4 linked regions of the Drosophila melanogaster genome follow. The protein of the gene in region 3 interacts with the protein of the main gene of each other region in a pairwise test. Each region holds a gene or a part of one and is shown on either strand. Other genes may lie near its edges. The genes, in order: Sas-6, Plp, ana2 and tacc.

Region 1 (4,291 bases), on a different chromosome or scaffold from region 3:
GTATTATCTTGAGAACAAACTTCACATGGGCATGATGGACAACAATGGCGTCGGCAAGCTGACACAAGAATCTCTAAAACGCAAGGAGCGTCTGCAAAAACTCCGGGAACAAGTGCAAAACAAAGGAGGAGACGCTGCCGAGTCCATTGAAAAGTTACCCAAGTCAGCAATACAATGAAATGCTATTATGAATCCCTATAAACCAGTTTCATATATCTTTGCAGACCAGTTTTCCGCAGCTACAAGCCCCAGAATGAGACCACCGATGGCGAGATTCTAGCACAGGAACCCACGGGCAACATAGAATCAGCTGTGGAGGATCAATTGAGTCTGCTCCAGCAGCCCATGGTGATAGATGAGATTGACATAACCAACCTGGCTCCCCGAAAACCCGACTGGGATCTGAAGCGGGATGCCAGCAAAAAGTTGGAGCGACTGGAACGACGTACCCAGAAAGCTATTGCTGAACTCATCCGTGAGCGACTGAAACTGAACCAAATGGAGGATATCAGCCAAGCGGTGAATGTGGCCACGGCTCATGCAGGTGAAAGTGTTCAGGAGGATTATGACTAGAGCTGAATAATACAACTAACTTTACTAAACTGGTACAAAAAACGAAAAAATGCATTAACAATAAGTAAAACTATCGCCGATTTTCTTTGCCCGTGGGTATTGCAAGCCGTTCTTTTAGAATGAGGATTTCTGAAAAGAGCAAGTTGTAAGTAGGTACACTTAAAGATTGGGGTCTCAGCTTACGTTTGGAATACTTCTGCTCCAGTCCCTGGGCAAAGTTACGCATGGATTGCAGTTGCTGGGGGATTTCCTCCCTCAGTTTTTCAATAGTTATTCGAGCCTCGCGCAGCTCATTCTCCCGCAGGGATAGTAGGCTCTCCTTGGCCTGAACCGCCTTCTCTTGCTGCAGAGCCACCTCTGTGCGCCAGGCAATGGTCTTTTTGAGGTTGAGCAGCTCCTGGCTTTGTTTAACGATTATCTGGTTGGCCTTGGAGATCTCCTCGGAGGCCATTTCCAAAGCCTGGCGCTTGGTGTGCAGGATCTTCTTCTCGGCCTCCAGTTCAGCGGCTATGTTGGCCTGCAAAATTAAAAGGGATATACTCTTCTGATGTGCATTATTCTTTTTATACACATACCTTCTCTTTGTTTCCCTTTTGAATATGTTCCTGCAGCTCGACAGTGTGCTGCTTGAGGTCCTCGATTTTGTACTCCAACTTGCGTTCATGCTTCCTGATATTGGCCACATCCCCGTGCAGTTTGTCATTTTGCTCTTTTAGGGTGCACACTCTGGCTTTGCAACAGGACAACTCCTCGGACAGGGTTTGACATCGTTTCTCGGCCTGCTCTTGGGCCGACTTTAGTTCTGCTTTCTCCAACGAAGCCTTGTCCAATTGGGCCTGAAAGCCGGAGATCGCTCTACGATTTCTCTCCAGCTCATTGCTGCGCTGCTCGTTTATTTTGGACAGTTTTTCCTGGTATTGATGGACCTCGGCAGCATGCTTTTCCTCTAAGATGCGAGTATTTTCGGCCAAAGCTTCCCTGATATTTGTGTTTTCCGTGGTCAACCTTTCCGCATGCGCGCGTTGTGCGTTGATTTCAGCCTGCATTTGCTGCATACTTTGCTCGAGAATATATTGCTTTTTGTGGGAGGCTTCCAGCATGCTGTTTATGTAGAAGAGTACGGTGTTCAAGGGAGCAGAACGACAAGGCAGGCTAAGGTGAACTAGGTTCTTAAAGGACCGAATTTCAACAAACTGAAGATAATAGTCGTGGACCTCCCTGCCGGATGAAAGGTTCTGATCCCGTGTGGTCAGGTGCAGCTCCAGTTTACCCGACTGGCAGTCCTTCAGCATGCGCACTACATTGTCAATGAACCCAGAGAATGACACATTCAGCGACTGATCCTGTTTAAGATCCTGAAAGGAGGCGCTGTCCACTGTGGTGATGTACATGCGCCGTTGATCGGACTTCTCCGTTAATCGGAGTTGCTGTGGGGCAGAGGATGTATTGAAATTTGATCGGAGGAGGTCTTGACAAGCATATTTACCAGCAGCTCCTTGAAGTCCACTCTCTCCGCGTACAGTAGACATGACCGTTTGCTAGACCGCGTCATTTCGCCATTAAAGTTCACCAGCATCTCTACGCTGGGCAGGATGTTCACCACGCTCTTGCCATAGTCCATTTTGGCGGAGTAGCTATCCTCGCTCCCTGGAGGCCACATGATAGATCAGGCTCGTGAGAAACCTTAATTTTTAAAATTTTAAAATTGGTAAACAAAAGTGATGGCTTGGGTCTATCGATGTCGATAGCTACCGATATGGCCGTGGAAGTAGCCATCGCTGGTCACACTGCCGGTCAGGTGCACAGTTGTCCATCTCCATTTCAATAAAAGAAAAAAACAGCGAAAAGTTGTAGAGAAAAATAAATACATGAATACTGTACGTAAGAAAGAGGCAGCGCCGCCGGATTGTCCATAGTAATCCGGAGTAATGCTAGCTTTATCCTGCAGACCGCCAAGGTGTTCGTCGGCAGCCTGCCGCGCTGCAAGCCGGAGGAGCTGCGTCGACTGTTCACCAACTATGGATCGGTCGTTGAGTGCGACGTGATGAATCGCTGCGCCTTCGTCCATCTGGAGAACACGGACATGGCGGAGGCGGCCATCGCAGCGCTGAATGGCACCATCTTCAAGGGCCAGCCCATTGTGGTGGAGGCGGGCAGGCCAAAGTACGGCCCGGGAGGTGGCAGTCGAGGTCAGCCGGGCTCTGGGGACAATCCGGGGCGCAGGCCCTCGCAGGGTAAGCTTTGATCACTCCAAAGATCCAGCATCTAAGTATTTCATCATCCTCAGTTCAAGGTGGCGGGGCGGACAAGAGACCTCATGAATCCAATACCAACTTCAAGCGCAACTTTCGTGAGGAAGTCGGTGGCAGATTCTCCAACGAAGGCCCAAGGAGCTCGAACTCCTCGGCCGCCAAATTTGGTCCCGTGAGAAACGAGTCCAACTACAGACAACAGCGCAGTGCTCCATACTCGAAAGGACCACCGAACAATGAGTCTTCCAATCAGGGACAGGGCTTTAGGAACAAATTTGCAGGCGGAGGCAAGTTCGGTGGAAGCGCGGGCAACGAGGGACGCTTCGGCAGCAATCGGTTTCAGCAGCGGGACAACAGTGGACCACAGCCTGGCAGAAGAAACTTTAAGAACAGTCCAACCAGCGGATATAGGGGAGGAGGCAATAATAGTGACTTTCAGGGAGGCAGCTCCAGCAGCGGGGGAGGAGGATCCGTAAATCAGAGGGCCGGCGGCGGCGGCCCAGGTCCAAGCCATGTGCGACAGGATCGACGTGGATTTGCCCTGCCTGTAGAGCATCAGCAGCAGCAAATGGGCTTCGGACGCTTTGGCAATGGACCAATGAACTCTGGCAATCGTGGGACTAATGGGTAAGTTGTGCATAAGATTGGGTTCTAAATTATATATAATATCTTGTTTTGCCATATAGAGGAAATCCACCGGGAGGACGTGGATTTTTCAATGGAGGAGGAGGCGGATTCAATGACAGACGCGATAGCAGTCACGAGACAAGCAGTCCCCAAGGAGGCCCAAGCAAACGCGGAGGTTCAGGAGGTAGAAATCACAATCAGAATGGCATAAATGCATATCACTCGGAGTTCCCGCCCTTGGGCAGTGGCGGCGGAGGTCCAGGCCAAAGAAACCGGTAGGTTCATTCATATCGTCTGCATAAAAACCACTAACCCCAATCATCGCCATTTCCAGCTTCAACGGGCCCAGACCCGGGCCAAATATGGGCGGCAATAGAAGATTTTAAGCAAGTGCAATGCAGCAACGATGTTTGCCAGTCCACGTGTACTCCACTTAATAATGTAATAGCCGAATTTTGTTTTTCATTGTTCCGCGCGCAGAATCTTTTAGTTAAGCCAACGACGACGACTTTTAATTTGTCCTATAGCCGTGTACTTTTAAGACCAACATCAACAGTATATTTGTTATTCGTAGTCTAAGATTGTTTCGATATTTATGCAATACTTAAATAATCATATTTCTTGTGTGCAACTAGATACGACGAGTCAATCAATCAATACAATCATAAACACCATTTGCGTTTTTAAATCATCCCGCCAAAAGATTACTGTTAGGGTCTAGGGTTGGTTGGGGACAACTATCGTTATCGAGACTTCGAAGCTTTGTGTGGTTATCAAACAGGTCCCCAAAATTATAAACAAAGAAATCAGAAATTTGGTAAACTTCAGACTGCCTGCTG
Region 2 (5,192 bases), on a different chromosome or scaffold from region 3:
CACATGCATCCGTTCCCCAATCGAGTGAGGAAATATTTAAGCATTTTCCAATTACATTTTTCACAGATGGAAATCTAATTAGATCGCATGCATATATAGCGATGTGCCAAGGCGATGCATTCAACGTTTGAATAATAAGCCTTTTCCAACTTATATCGTAGATCATACAGTAAATGTCGGCTTACATATATGCAAACTTTTTAAATTTTATTTAAAATATATTTATTGCAATATTTGCTTTAAAAAAAAAAGAGTTATTTCCCATTTATATTAAGTTTAAATTGTAATTTACATACAATTCAAGTCCGTACTGTATTTTGAACGACTGAAAAATATATTTTCCATATTACACATACGCCATGTGGGTCAGGCCGTAACGCTTGACAAAGTTTTCACAATATTAGCGGAAAATGCTTGTGAAAAAGTTATCCAATTCCCGGCCACATGGTGGTTTGAACGTCCTTGAACTTGTCAGGACAAAGACAACAACAACACATTCAGGAAGTACCAGCACAGCGATAAGGATATCGGGATAACAAGTTTGCACCTATAACCATGACAACGGATTTTCTTTGAGTGTGCGTGAAAAACGAAAACGAAAGTCTTTTACATTCCTTGCAAACATTTCAATTTGTTGCTATAGTTTGGACCTCTTTTGTGGGCCGTTGTTTGGGTGTGACACACATTTCAGTTGGATCGTCTGAGGTTTTTGCACTTCGGCGACTAATAACAACAATGCCACTCCCCTTTGGAACGGGAAAAGGGGCGAAGGACCTAGCCCAACGTCTCTGTTAATGGCGCTGACGCCTTTCCTTTGATTTTCCACAAGATATTGTCGATAAACCCTCAATAATGGCACGCATATTGGCGAAAATGATTAAATTAATAGCTTTGCCTGGCGCAGAATTGACAGTGAAATATGTTGGACAAAAATAAATTCGGATTGGAGAAAGGATTTTCTTTTGCGTTGCTATGAAGAAAGGTTATTTCATTTAAAGGGTTTAGTTTAATATAAATTCTTAAACGCTTGCATTTAACATTTTCATATTTTATATAAAAATTTACATATGAACACACAATTTATATGATTGTGAAGTAGATGATGAATTGCTTTATATCCTATACCCGCATTTTATTTGATTTACAAACCAAATCTTTTACAGCATTATTCTTTCAAATAGTAATTCTAATAAATAATATTCAAGAACAATTAAGAATGAGATCGTATCGTAACTAAATTTATAGAAAATATGGTAAATACTGTATAATTTTCTCTAAGTACACTGCAATGCAAAAAAAATCCACTAATTTGGTTCATTATCATGCGGTTTCGAATGATATTAACACACTTTGGCTGGCGAGTGATGCAAATGTCACTGGGCGATGCTAAAGATCACATTGCGGACAATAACTGAACTCACATGCAATTTCCCCATTTCGCTGCCCGCCACTCATTCGATTCAATTCAGCGATGAAGAAGTTATCTCAATTAAATGCAATTTACAATCACTTAAAAAGTCCATATATCGACAATGGCTATTGAGGGTTACATTGTGCAAACTTCTACGTATATGCAAATGTTTCGTAGATTTTTTTAAACAATTTTATGGGATCACAGGCACTGACACTGCACTCTTATCTTTATAGAGCTATAAATGTGCGGAAAACCGAAAAACGACGACGCGACCGCCTGCAGTGCAGGTTCTTTTATAAATAAAACGCCCGAAGAGACATTCAATTGAAATCAGTCACTCAATCCGAGGAAAATCAAAAGAAAAGCGTTGGAAAAGAGCAGCCACGGGAGAGGCCGAGCGATTGAGAGCGAGTGCCGCGGAAATTTGCAACGCGGTTCCAAGCGGTTCCGTGCACCGAATGTTCGCTCCCATTTTTTATTTATAAACAAAATGTGTGTGTGGAACATAAATTTGTTTGGAAGATGGTGATAAATGCAAAAGAGTAGTTTTAAAAGCATTTAGAACTATTGTTTTACGATTCGCGATTGCGATTGATACTGAAGTAGCTATATATATAAGTACTTAGAATTAGTATTATAATCAGAATTAATGTCCCTCAAAAACTGTTATATTTCATTTTTTATAGTTAGTAATTTATAATTATTCTATAATCATCATAAAACATTTTAAGTTAAGTTTAAAAACTTGAAGTTCAAATTTTATTTTAAAATTTGTATACAATAACAATTTAATATAAGAAATTCGAGCCATTAATCATTTCGATGAATATTAAAAATTTTTGATCATTTTCGTATACATTATCCAAAAATTTTCATCGTATTGCGGTACATGTATTAGATTTATTCAGCAACAAGTTGCAGAAACATTCTTTCCTCAACAAAATCGATAAGCGAATCGGTTATTGTAGCGAGACATTTTTTCAAAAATATGAATATTGATGTTTATAATAAACAGGGAAACAGTAGCCAAGATTCACTAATAAATGTATTAGTTATTTAACAAAGCAATTAAAACCGCATAATGTGGACAATTCAATTATAATTTTCACTTAAAAAGTTGCTCTATAATAATAAAAAGTATGCTATTCAATGATATAAAATATAATACTTATTTAAAAAATAAAATATTATTTAAAATTCCTAATCCGTTGGGTATTTTTCACTGTAGATTGTTTACAGATTTCGGAAGGGCCTTGTGGTCTTCTAATCGAAAGTTCAAAGGCGCATTCAATTTCGATTTCATTTGTAAACACACTTGAAAAACAACATGTTCTGTTTGTGGATCGTAATGAATTGAAAACACACATATCAAGGCGCATTCAACCCACATTTTGTGGATTTTATGCACAATCCGAGAGCACAGATGATGGATGTTCGGCTCCCAAATGGGTTAATACTTTAATGGATACCCCTGATTGTTTGGCTTACCCAATCGTATATAGTGTACAGATTCATGGTGACTGCACTTGAACCAAATAATTTATGGCCTATTCCCTGTTTTTTGGCCGCCTTTGTTGACACTTGCGCCTGTCAGTTGGCTATATCTATAGGCATTCTAGATGTGGCCCAAATGCGATCCATTTTCTTGTTGATGTTTTTACGTAGTGGTTTTGATGACACTATATTTTAGAATTTTTTCGGGTTGACTTGCTTACAAACACAGACGAATGCAACGAACCGAATAATTTTGTAGGTTAGGTTGGAGACTTTACGTAAAATTTGATATTTTTTTAATTTAAAGTTTAACACGAAGACAACACAATGGGGGAAACTAGCTACTTAAAGCGTGAACTCTTAATTTATCATTATGTGATTTTCAATGCTCCTCGAGGGAGAAAGAACCGACAAATTTGAAACTTAAAAACAAAAAAAAACCAATAGTGCAACCGATCTGAAACAGTTGCACGTAATAGCGAGCGCGATGCAACTGAGAACCAAATCCATTGCGAAGAGTCTTTATATTTTTGGGGTATCGGGGGATATCCACGCTCTTTTTCTCCCCATCCAGATACTGTAATGCTCAGTGAAGCACAACAAGAGATTGTTTAAAAATAATCAATCGTAAACAAAATTTGTTGCAGTGGCATTGAGTTGGGGAGAGTCCAAAAGAGAGAATTCAATGTACTACTACCAGATCGCGAGAGAAACAAAGAGAAATCCGAGAGATAAAGGGGAGGAAAGTAATTAAGTTTTATCGGTTGTTCTATAAATAAGTTTTAACCAGAGATTAAGGAACTACAAGATATATTCGATAAGGAATGATTTAAGGAAGTGAGAACACATTTATGGGTATAAATGAGACATTTATTTATAGGCTAGGGAAATATAAAGCTTTCTTTTCATTTCAATTATTCAAAAAATCTGAAATGCTACAAGAGCATTAATAATGTTTTGAGAAAAATATTGGAAGTTCAACGAAATATTTGAATGCTTAAATATCAATAAAAACGCACTCGCATATATTTTAATATAAAATATTTATTTTTATCTATTTGTTATTGCTTGTCGGTAGTTAGTCTTAAGAAAACTCGGTGAATATATCAGTATCCAATCGGTATATTCATATAAAAATATCATTCGATTAGGGTAAATATCCTTTATACACTTATTAGTTAGCTAGTCAGTTATTTGTTTATAAATGCTGTTAACTATATAAAATATTTCCATATTTTCTAGGCATCCTGTTGTAAGGCGATTTCTGTCCCCCTCGGGGATAATATTGTCCTGTGTTTTTTGTACTTTAAAAATTCAATACAAAATTTGAATGTCGTTCGATAAATTGCTTTCAATACGTCAGTTTTCAATTTGGCAGATCTTTTGAGCATTGTTATTTTCTTGATCCTAAATAATTTGGCTAACGAACTTAAAATTCGAAAGGAGTCCAATAGTTTGAGCTGCTTTTGCTTTGTAGTTTCTCAGTGCTACAAAATTAGTTTAGTTAATCACATTAAAAGGTGAAAGTGCATGAGAATTCCGTACAACCTTATAGGTCAATTAGGATTTCCGCCCTCCTTTTGCTTAAACTTGGTGGAGTATTTGTAGAAATCGGACATCTCGAAGGGTTTCGTCACTTCCTTGTACGGCTGGAAAGTGGCCTGCTGAACTACGGTCATGTTTTTGGGCGACTCGATGCGAATTTCCGGCGATAAACTGGCTGTGGCCACTGTTACTGGCGGTGACACAAGCGCTGTTTGGACAGCATTCCCATGAGCAAGTCCGCTTGAACTGCCATTACCACTGTGACTTAGGTTCTGGTTCTGAGTATGAGCCTGATTTGCGGGTGGCGGTCTGGGCGGCGGCGTTGGCTGCTGCATTTGACTTGGCTTGGGTGGTAAGTTTCGCAGTGCTGGTATGTCCAGAGGTTCCAGCGGATACGATACCGATATCCCCAAAGTTTGCTCCATTGCATTGAGATACGAAGTCGATTGACTTAGCAGGGCTTTCGAACTGGTATTCACCGCATAGCTGGCACTGGGATAATTCGGAGTCGGTCGCTGGTTGGACATGGAATAGTGACGACCCGCTACCGACATGGACTGCGAGGAGAGCTTAGCGCGGGGTTTACTTGAAACCATGGCAGCTGCGCCGGGATTACTACTCCCATTACTACTCCCAGCTGGACTGTGGGGCTGTGAATCCATCTGCCTGATAACAGCTGGCCCATCTAGCGAAGATTCCAGCCACTGCTTGGGCTTGGGCTTCTTCTCAATGGTCGTGG
Region 3 (4,377 bases):
GCCGCCCAAGGAGAAGCCACCACTCCCCGAGGAGTACATCTACTTGCAGACTGTGCTGGAGGAGCTGAAGAACCGCTGCCTGGGCGCAACCAATGATCCGGTAAGTCTATTAATAAATGATCCATATAGACAAAAGGAATAACTTACTTTTGTTTATAAATTTTCTTACATTTTAAGCGCACAAAACGAAAGTTTGTCGATGTTGTCAAGAGGCTCGAAAATCTCTACGACTGCCTGAGAGATGGAAAGGTGAGAGCTGCTGCCTTAGATCGCGATTCAATTGCAATTCTCAAATGGCATTTACTTTAATTCCAGCTCACTCCCACCACGGTGCAATATCTGAATCAAATAGTTCAGTACATTCAAATATCCGACTATGCCAATGCTATGGAAATCCACACGCAAATCGCCTTCGGAACGGACTTTGCGCAGTGCGCGGGCTTTATGCAGGGACTGAAGGTCCTACTGCAATCCGCATCCGAGCTACAGTTGGTTCTGCGTTAGAGCCCCGTCGCCGGATCGCAGCCAAGTTCACTAAACGTATATTCTTATTGTGTCTTCAGATATCGATGTCAAACACAAAATGTTTTGTATACAAAGAGTGGTTCTCTACGTTAGTTTAGGCTGGGATCACCAGAAGATTGTCAACGTTATTCCGTGTATTGAAATATATTTCCACTTAAATCGCAAATAGACATATGCATAAATAACAAAACGAACATTGTACATGCTTTCACAACAGCTTCGGCTGGTTCCTGATATTCTCCAAGTCCAGTTGAATATGTGGCGAAGGGGCGGTCGCCGCCATGGGAGATTGTGGACACACCGGCTCCAGTTGCTCCTCGGGCAGCAGACGGTATTTTTTGAGATACTTGTACGAAGCATTGGATATGTCGTTTGGACTCTGCGCGTGGCCTATGTTGTCGATCGGACGCAGTGGCTCTGGATTAGGGGACTTCGGCGACGCCCCCAGGCGCATATCCTTCATCAACTCATCCACTGGCTGGCGCAAGTATTTCAGCGCCAGCTCGTTCATCACCATGCTCTTCTCGGTGTTGGGCTTGGCCAGTTGAGGGATCCGCTTCGCCTGAGGCGTATTGGCCCGGTAGCCCGTAGATTGGGCGATCGGCGGATGTGGTCGAGGAGACGGAAACTGAGGAATCACTCGTGCTTGTGGCGGCGGCAATGGTTCCTCCTCCTCTGCTATGTAATCCTGCATAATGGGAGACAAGCGTCTACCTGCTAGGAAGGATGTTTTATTGGATTCTTTTCATACAGATTCAACGTACGCACCTTGATTGGTGGTCAGAATATCGCACTGGGTGCCAGTGGTACTGCTGGCTTTTGAAATGGCTTCGGGTTTCGCTCGCTGCTGTTGCTCCAAAATCATCTCGCAGAGATTCCGAAGCTGTTGCTGCTCATGGCGCACGGACTCCACAAGGGATACCAGAGCCGCCAGATCACTCTTATTGGCCAAGTTGCTGACGTCGATGTCGGAATAGACAACCTGGGGCAGTGATTTTCGCGGAGGAGATGGGTTGAAGGGATCGGTCTGTGTGCCAGCACAGATGGTGAGGACATCTGCGTTGGAGGAGCTGGACAAGCGCCTAGATTGATATGCCTGTTGCTTGGGCTCGGCATTATAGCCACCAGCATTGCAGTTCATATGATTGGTAGTCTGCTGCGCATCGCTTGCATAGTTGCGATCCCGGGGCATTACTTGGTATTCCTTCGAGGAGCACGGACTATTGCTGCTGGGAGCGGTGCGAGGACCCAGTTCTGTGGCCAAAATGGGCGAAAAGTTGACCCTGGGCAGCATTTGCTTCTTCCAGGACGCGAAGGTGGGTGCAGCACGAGGGGATGACTCCTGATGTGCATGATTTGGCTGCTGCGGCTGCATCTGCGGATCCTGCGGCGGCTGGCCAAACAATATGGATACCTCCGGCACGGTGGGCCCTATAATCTCATTGGTGTGGCCCATGGGCACTGCTGCACTCGGCCTGGGCGCTAGTCTGGGCAGCATATCCTCCGTTTCGGGAACAAACATTTGGAGCGTATTTGTTTATATTTGCCGATTAAATTAAATTCGAGCGGGAGAATCTGTCCAATTGGAAGTCGATCGACTTAGGGGTGGAACTAGGGCTGACGTAAAACGCCAACTTATCGATACTTTATCGAGTGTACCCTACACTTAGCCAAGTTTCCAAGTGCACGAGTCACCCAGCGGACTGTGTGTCATAGCAAAAGCTGAAATTTCTCGGGGGAAAAATGCCTGTTTTGGAGCACATCAAAGCCATGGCAGAGACTCCGACTCCAGCTGAGAACAGCCCTGCACCGGCAGACGAGAATGCTCCGCCCCAGGCAGTCCGGGAACTGACGCAGACCGACCATCTCAACCGACGCCTTCTCAAATCGCTCCTGGAAAACATGCAGGCCACCGAGGTTCTGGCGCAGGAGAACGGGAACGGCTCCAACGAGGAGGACAACGATTTCGAAGAATAAATCCTTTTATTAGAGTACAGTAAAACTAATGAGCTAAAACGGATCAACAATCGTCAGTTTCGGGCGGGGGTCACCTATATGCGACGGCGCTTGTTGCTCTGCACCGGCGGCGGCGTAGTGGAGGGGCTGATGGACTCGTTGGACATGGAGCCGCGTGTGCGCTTGGCCGGACGCTTGGGCAGCTGCTCCTGGGGCTTGGCGACGGGCTTTTTGTCGCCGTCCTTGGTGGAATTCGTCGGTACCGGCGTTTTGGTTGCAGGTGGAGCTGTAAAACAACATTACAAGTGAATGAATCCTGATGATAACTAACGAACTACCTTTGCCATTGGTCTCTGCTGTTGGAGGGGCCGACTGTGCCTCTGCAGCCTCCTCGTTGGCATGCACTTCCACCGTCTTTTTGGTCTGTAGCGTTCCGTAATCCTGCTCCGGCAGGCTGAACTCGCGCTCCTCGTTGGGAAAGGGCAGCGACTCCAGATCGTCCAGTTCCTTCAGCTTGTACATGGTGCCCAGGTGGCGCCAGATCAGCTCGCTGGGCATTTCACGGTTCAGCGACTTGGACAGACGCTGGACAATGCAGGACATGTAGAAGTGCTTGTTGATGCCCACCGGGCGCAGGCCTTCCATTGCATGGAACAGCTGCAGCTCTTCCTCGGCGGACCACTCGTGGTCGAGGGCGGCCGGTAAGGGGGCCGCCGTTCCGGCCACAGCCAGACCCTTGTCCTTGGCCATCATTTTGCAGAGCGCATGGAACTAAAAACTGATACGTATTGTATGTTTTTCTGCGCGAATATTAGCGATGGTATGCGGGTGCGCTCACGCACCCGAACTATCGCCGCGCGGCACATCACTAGTTTGGGTGTGTATCCACTTTTATTCGTCAACTTTGCTCGATTTTAGCCCGTAGAGTTCGAGATTTAAAAAAAAAAAAAACATATAAGCCGGAGCTGGTAATTAACAAATAGTGTGCAAATATAGTTATGTGTTGTGTGTGCATCCGTCGAAAACTTCACTTTTCCACTATAATCCCTCTGCTAACCACACGGCGCAGTACGCCTTCGTGTGTTTGTGTGTGTGTTCTCCTTCACTATTTCTGCATAAAAAACTAATTTTCGGTGTTCCCAACGAGTTGAGCAGTGTTTTTTGCACACAACTCGGGTTCTCCATGTGCTGGCACAAGTAGCGCCCACCGCCCACCACCACGCCCACTTGGGGTCAGTTAATAACCTTGCACTTGTTCGCGTCAAGGCTTCCAGTTCGGCTGGAAAGTTAATCAGCAATGCGATCGATGAAACCAATGCCTGCGTTCGGTTCTTTACATGTGCCACAAAATAACACATATGTTAATGCGTAGTGTGACTCACTATCTAGCTATCCTAACTTCCCGCCTAGTACTAAACACTGACTAAACTACACCAATCTACCAACTATCTCTGTCTAGAATCGCGAAAATGTACACATATGTTATAGCTTTGTGTCGCCTGTTCGATGTTGTGCCCGTATGGGGAAGCCTGTACAAAGAATGAGATATCTAAACTACATATAACCAACTTGTTATTTCCAGCCAGCCATTAAGATCCATCCAAACCAGTATTCCCAGAATCATACGATAAGATAAGCCAAAGCCAAAGATCAAAGACCAAGCCCTTCGGCGAAGCCACACAAGCACTAGCAACCAAGCACACCACCCCAAATCCACTATCCCGTAATTGCATTTCCCAGTATCCGTAACACTGAGAACCTTTTCAACCATAGGCCTATCCGAGACAGCCATCATGGACGTAATGTCATCATCCCTGCAGCAGCAGCGCGTCGTGGTGGAGCAGCTGCGTCGCGAGGCTGCCATCGACCGCCAGACGATCTCGGAGTCATGCGCTA
Region 4 (5,425 bases), on a different chromosome or scaffold from region 3:
TTTTCCTGCAGTTTTTTGATCCATTTTATTATCTTGACAATCCGTATCATTTTGAACGCAGAGTTTTAAGAAAAATTTGCTTGAAACGGGAGAATGAGCATTAATTTGCTCCTGCCGACATGAGTTAAGCACTGTGGCATCATCCACTTTCATGGATTCATCCACATCCATTTGATCAAGCTCCTCCACAGTCCTGTCTTCAGTTGCCTCCATAGCTGGGGATGCATTTTGCTCAAGGCTGATGGCAGTGCATGGTCTCTCCATTGATTCTACTGCCACCGAAAATTGCTTCTCTTGATTAGGGTATTCTAGAGATTTTGCTGATTTTGTGGACAGTTCTGAAGAAGCCTCTTTGAGATTTAAGGCCTTTTCAGGCTCCTTAGGATTTTGTGCGTCCTTCACCTGAGCACTACTGACCGGGTGGTGCTTCTCTTTCTGAAATATATCTTTTGTATTTGTTTGCATTTCCTCTTGATGCTTAGCTAAGTCTTTCGTAGAGTCCAAGGCAGATAAGGTGAGCTTCGGCTCAAAGGATTGTGTACCAGACTCCTCAGACAGTACTGATTCTACCAATGATTCTGATTCCTTTGCATCACTATTGGGTTTAGAGTGTTTGGCTAACTGGTCTAGTTCAACCCTATTTTGCTCCTGATTTGGATGATAGTGCACAAAATTATTCTCTGGTTTTGACTGGGTTACGCTGAGAATATGCGTTTGCATAAGATGACGGTCTTCCGCATTCAAGACGTCCTTTAACATTTCCATGGTTTCGTTTAGGTCATCCACATCCATGGCTTCATAGCTGACGTTGTTGTGCTGGCTAACTGCCAAAGGATCGTTGAATTCAGCTCCCAGTGTAGAAACTGAGGTCATGGACAGCTGCTGCTCCAAAACATCATTAAGGGCACTTGAATATGCCTCTAACTCCGATCGATCTCCGGTGTAGCGCTCGCTATGAAGCGATAAACACTCGACAAAAACATCCGAATCCGAATGGTTGGATTTCAGTTGAGCTAAGGGAGGAATGAATGCGATATATTAATCAATTCGTTTTAATAATAATTAAATACATATAAGAAATTTATTTATATAATTAATACAACGAGAAATTTATACATAAACTTGGAAATGATTTATTTTCCCCAGCTGGCCCTTTCCTTTGTATAAATGACGGTATTGAAATAGAAGAAATTACTTCGCTCTTCTGGCGGATTTCGTATGGAATTCTTTTGTACATCAATATAATTTTTCTACCTTAAGAGATTTCTGGGTTACACAAACAAGATTTACTCACTATCCATATCGGTACTTAAAGGAGCTAGTTCCGGTATTTGCGTCTCATCGAACTCGGGAAGACCTCCAAACTTTGGAACGAGGTCGTCTTCTGGCTTAAGTCCACCGGGTACCGCCGTCTGATGCCCCAGAGCTGCCGCCATTGCCTTCTGTTGATCCATGCTCGTTGGCTTGGGACTGGGCTTCACCGCCAACGGACTCAGCTGCCAAACAAGAGATGCAAAATTTAAGAATATAGTTATCAAGATGTACATCGCGGTCATGATCCGAATAGTTTTAAACCGTGAACAACCGATGTTGGGAATGGGGTTTTAAAGATGATCACGAGTAGCAGCTGGTTGGTCATTTAATTAAGAATTTTTGACACACAAAAAGGCAAGAGCCCCACCACAGTTGGCATAAATAAATCGCATTTGGGATGACTTTTCCCGTATTTTCCCATTGCCAAGAAATTATACAAAGGCATAGGACCCCCATTTTTAGTTATTATCATATACAAAAGAATACATTATTATGAAATTATGATCTTCATTTGAAAAACTTCAATCTCATCTAATGTAGCCCATATGATACAGATGCCTTCAATTCACGCTTAAAAAAGACATACATTTCAAATGTTTGTCGCAGTCGGTCAGTCAACAAAAGCAAATGTCATTAATTAAAAAGCCAGCCAAGACGTAAAAATCGGGTATATGGCATATGTTTGGGAGGGTGGCAACGAAACGGATTGAGGAGCAAAAGGTGGGGAGATGGACGTGGAACTGGGTCGACGTCAGCTTTTGTGCAGTGCGAAATAAACATGCCGCGGATTCAATGCGGCCGGCCGCCATGTTTAATGTCTATTTAGGTTTGGGAGCATCGTTCTACACGCGGAATTTAATTAGAGCGCATTGCAGTATAATGGGTGCTGCAAGGTTAAAGTCAGAAGAATAAGGCGAGTGGTGACCGGCTTATGAGCGAGACACTAAAAATTAGGAAAATTCTGGCATTAGACCAATTTCTCCGTTTCGATTTTATTGATAAGTATTTTAATTTTAATTTTTTGACAATGGGCTCAAATTTGAGTGGTAATGGGAAGCAGATTCCTGCGGAATATTAGCCCAAGCTAATGGCTAGATACAACCCTATTTAAAATAATATTTTCTGCAACGCAATAAGGTGACAAAACCAAGTGGAACCGCATAAATACTATATATGCAATCGGCAAAACACATTGGGACATTACAAAAAAATTCCAATGTGTAGATTTATGCAGTTTGCCTAATACTAGAACACCCCCCCCCCCCCCCCCAGGGATGCACATAAAAAGATAGTCCTAATTCTTTCAGACATACCTCGCCACTCATGGCTTGCAAGTGCTCCATTTCGTTAGCACTCACTTGGTTCAGATTGAAGTTTATTTCGCTTAGAAATTTCTGTATTTCTTCTCTACTATCAGTGCTGTCCTCGGGGGCTGGGAGTGGGTTCGAGATGGATTCCATAAATAGTTCACAGTGCTTTCCCTCCAGTCGTTGCAGCTCCTCAGAGGCGGACTCTAGTAACGAGTCCAGGTGCGCGGATACAAGTGTAACTCCTCCCTTATCCCTTGGTGTAGAACATTCATCAGCGGGACTAGCAGCTTCTAGGGCTTCCATTGTCGTTGGCTGATTGGTGCTGATGCCAGTGGTGGCGATGCTTTTGGGTCTTTTGATGATATTCGCGAGGAAATCCATGCCGCTCTACGCACGATTAACTCCTGAGACGCGATACGGTTCACTTGGCTCCAAAAAATAATGGATCTATAGAGTTCCTTAGTTTGGTCTTTAGTGTTTTTTTTTTTTTTTTTTTTTTGTGGTTTTTGTTGTGACACAGATTTGGGCTCGCCTACTCGGTAAAATCTTTACTGTGATTTTCCGCTTCCATTATATTGGGTAATACCTCCGGGTTTCTCACGGCCCGTTGTCGCGTGCGGTTCTCACTGCCTCCCGATCATGTCTGCCTTTAAAATCAATTTAAAAATATTTTCGTTTTCAATTTGCTTTGCTCTGCTCAGCGTCACACATGCACAAATACTTAGAGCACGGCGAGAGTGCGGGGGATCGACAGACCGAGTGAGAGAACGAATAGTTTGAATGGCATCCACATAACGATCCGGATGTTTTCGTATGTCTTCATGTTTGGATCGTTTTAGCCCACATGGCGTTCTCCCCTTATCAGCACGGTCCTCTCTTCCATTTATAATACTGCCATATGTTTTCACATGTGAGACGGCGGCTAGAGACACCTTTGTATATTACACATTATGGATTTCATACCAACTTAAAACATTTATTTAGCACATCCTTAGTCTTGAAATAGTTCCGATAAGTTATACTCTGAACTTTTAAGCACAAATATTCCTAATGAAAATTAAATCAAAACAACAGAGAACTCAGTCGTTTTTCTCGACTACCCATTACTCAGCTTTTGGAGCTACGAGAAATATACCCTTCAAAGATTTTATTAGCATATAAATAATATAAGTCTTAGTGGCCAGATAGACTTGGCTGGTGATTCTGAAGATGAAATCTTATCCTTTCTATGGTTGGAATAGTTACCCTTTTCTATTTCGAGAAAATATATTGGGTTTTATGAAGCTAGAGGGCAACACACACTTGATCCATTTAAACACACTTCTCTTAGATATATGAAATACATTTTGGAAACGGTCGAGGTCGTGGGCAACATTTATAAAATAATAATGTCAAAAGAGCGGGCTCAAGTTGACAACCTTTTTGACTGAACTGCAGTGAAAAACTGAAAAACTATACAGGCCTCAGACGAAATTCAGACTGAAAGGCAGCAGTGAAAGTGCAAGACACCGCAAATAAGTCGAAACACTTAAAGAAGGGGATAAATAAATGGGATACGAGAATACGGCGACCGCCGACTGCTTATATTGTCTTCGCAAATCAACTGGAGGAACTTGGTGCAAATTCAACGCTTTGATGACAGAATTATTTTGCACATTTTCCATAGGATTTTTGGAGAACAGTCTTATTTGCAAAATGCTTTCTCTTAAAGATATACCAGTAGAGGCAAGTAGAGTGCTCTAAAATAATAAATATGTTGATTTGGCTCATCACATTGTTTCAAGTGTAGAGGCCTGGTGGGTCCCAGATGACATGCAATCCCACAGCCATTGTTGCGCATCATGGCGCACTATCTGCAAGCTCCACATTGCCCAACGGCTGACTTTGCATGTTTGGCGAGAAAATGTAAGCAATGAAACGGAATCCCACACGATGGGCCTTGACGAGGGGGGAATAGTTAGATGTTGGCTCTAGCGTTATCCAAGCAGCGCGCGACAGGTGACAAGATATCACACGGTTCCCGGCTCAGGGTGAATTTAAAACCAATGTAGTTTGTTGAAGCATATAAGCCTTGAGTGGAATCCAAATAGTGGCCACAAATGAGTATACTGATTTCAGAAAACACAATAAATACAATAGAATAGAATACAAGTGGAATTTGAACCTTAAGCTGCAATTCGAATATCCAATAGAACTCAGGAAAATAAAAGAAAACAAATATTGAGGAAGAGCCAACTATAAACTGATCTAAAAATAGGCAAATGTGGAAAGGGGTGGAAACCATCTGTAGATCCTTTATAATGAGCATTTTTGTTGGCAAAAGGGAAGATGGAGTTAAATGACATTTAGTCAAACTTAAATCCTCAGATGGGCGTTTTTTGGACTGTAAACCGCATTAGGCACTGACATTTTGCAGCCGTTAGCCGCCAACTGATTTATTGGCATAATAGCGATACACACTAGCATTTTTAAATGGAAAGTGCACCATCTGGAGAGTGGAAATTTCAAGAGACAAATATATAGAAGGAAGAATAAGTAACTTTTGATTTTCCCTTGGCATACCCGATTCCCTCGTCCGTCGTCCGCCTTTATGGTAATTTTCCCGGACAAGGCCCTCGGTTTCCGTGTCTTGCCCGGCTTATTGCCCATTCTCCTATGGCTATGGCAGATCGGGGAAACTGGTCACCTGGGATGGACAATGTCCGGCGGACACCGATCAACTAGAGAACTCTCGTTCGCGACAGCTGCCTCAGAGCTAATAGGAACAGCGAATAATGGAAATTTATATGTACATATGTATT

Evidence for each region.
Region 1: the proteins of ana2 (region 3) and Sas-6 interact in a two-hybrid assay, tested with the Drosophila melanogaster proteins (2 studies listed by BioGRID).
Region 2: the proteins of ana2 (region 3) and Plp interact in a two-hybrid assay, tested with the Drosophila melanogaster proteins (one study listed by BioGRID).
Region 4: the proteins of ana2 (region 3) and tacc interact in a two-hybrid assay, tested with the Drosophila melanogaster proteins (one study listed by BioGRID).

Annotation. Positions count from the first base shown.
Region 1 is NT_033777.3:29,993,309-29,997,599, reverse strand, and holds Sas-6 (spindle assembly abnormal 6), read right to left. Parts: upstream 2,244-4,291; 5' UTR 2,234-2,243; coding exon 2,060-2,233; intron 2,001-2,059; coding exon 1,149-2,000; intron 1,091-1,148; coding exon 757-1,090; intron 703-756; coding exon 644-702; 3' UTR 574-643; downstream 1-573. Other genes in the region: CG15525 (uncharacterized protein), read left to right, coding at 26-162, 225-573; CG7903 (uncharacterized protein), read left to right, coding at 2,442-2,450, 2,522-2,807, 2,861-3,452, 3,512-3,727, 3,787-3,838. UniProt on the Drosophila melanogaster protein: Central scaffolding component of the centrioles ensuring their 9-fold symmetry. Required for centrosome biogenesis and duplication. In ciliated neurons, required for centriole assembly but not necessary for cilium basal body and cilia function.
Region 2 is NT_037436.4:15,086,890-15,092,081, forward strand, and holds the start of Plp (Pericentrin-like protein), read right to left. Parts: upstream 3,305-5,192; 5' UTR 2,930-3,304; coding exon 2,903-2,929; intron 1,665-2,902; exon of another isoform or gene 1,437-1,664; coding exon of another isoform or gene 1,422-1,436; intron 1-1,421. Other genes in the region: sstn (stepping stone), read right to left, coding at 4,465-5,192.
Region 3 is NT_033778.4:8,898,074-8,902,450, forward strand, and holds ana2 (anastral spindle 2), read right to left. Parts: upstream 2,139-4,377; 5' UTR 2,048-2,138; coding exon 1,294-2,047; intron 1,243-1,293; coding exon 734-1,242; 3' UTR 656-733; downstream 1-655. Other genes in the region: Sec31 (secretory 31), read left to right, coding at 1-100, 178-249, 316-504; CG13751 (uncharacterized protein), read left to right, coding at 2,269-2,502; MrgBP (MRG/MORF4L binding protein), read right to left, coding at 2,577-2,767, 2,820-3,234; Ggamma1 (G protein gamma subunit 1), read left to right, coding at 4,275-4,377.
Region 4 is NT_033777.3:4,743,170-4,748,594, forward strand, and holds the start of tacc (transforming acidic coiled-coil protein), read right to left. Parts: upstream 3,246-5,425; 5' UTR 3,006-3,245; coding exon 2,628-3,005; intron 1,497-2,627; coding exon 1,295-1,496; intron 1,014-1,294; coding exon 1-1,013.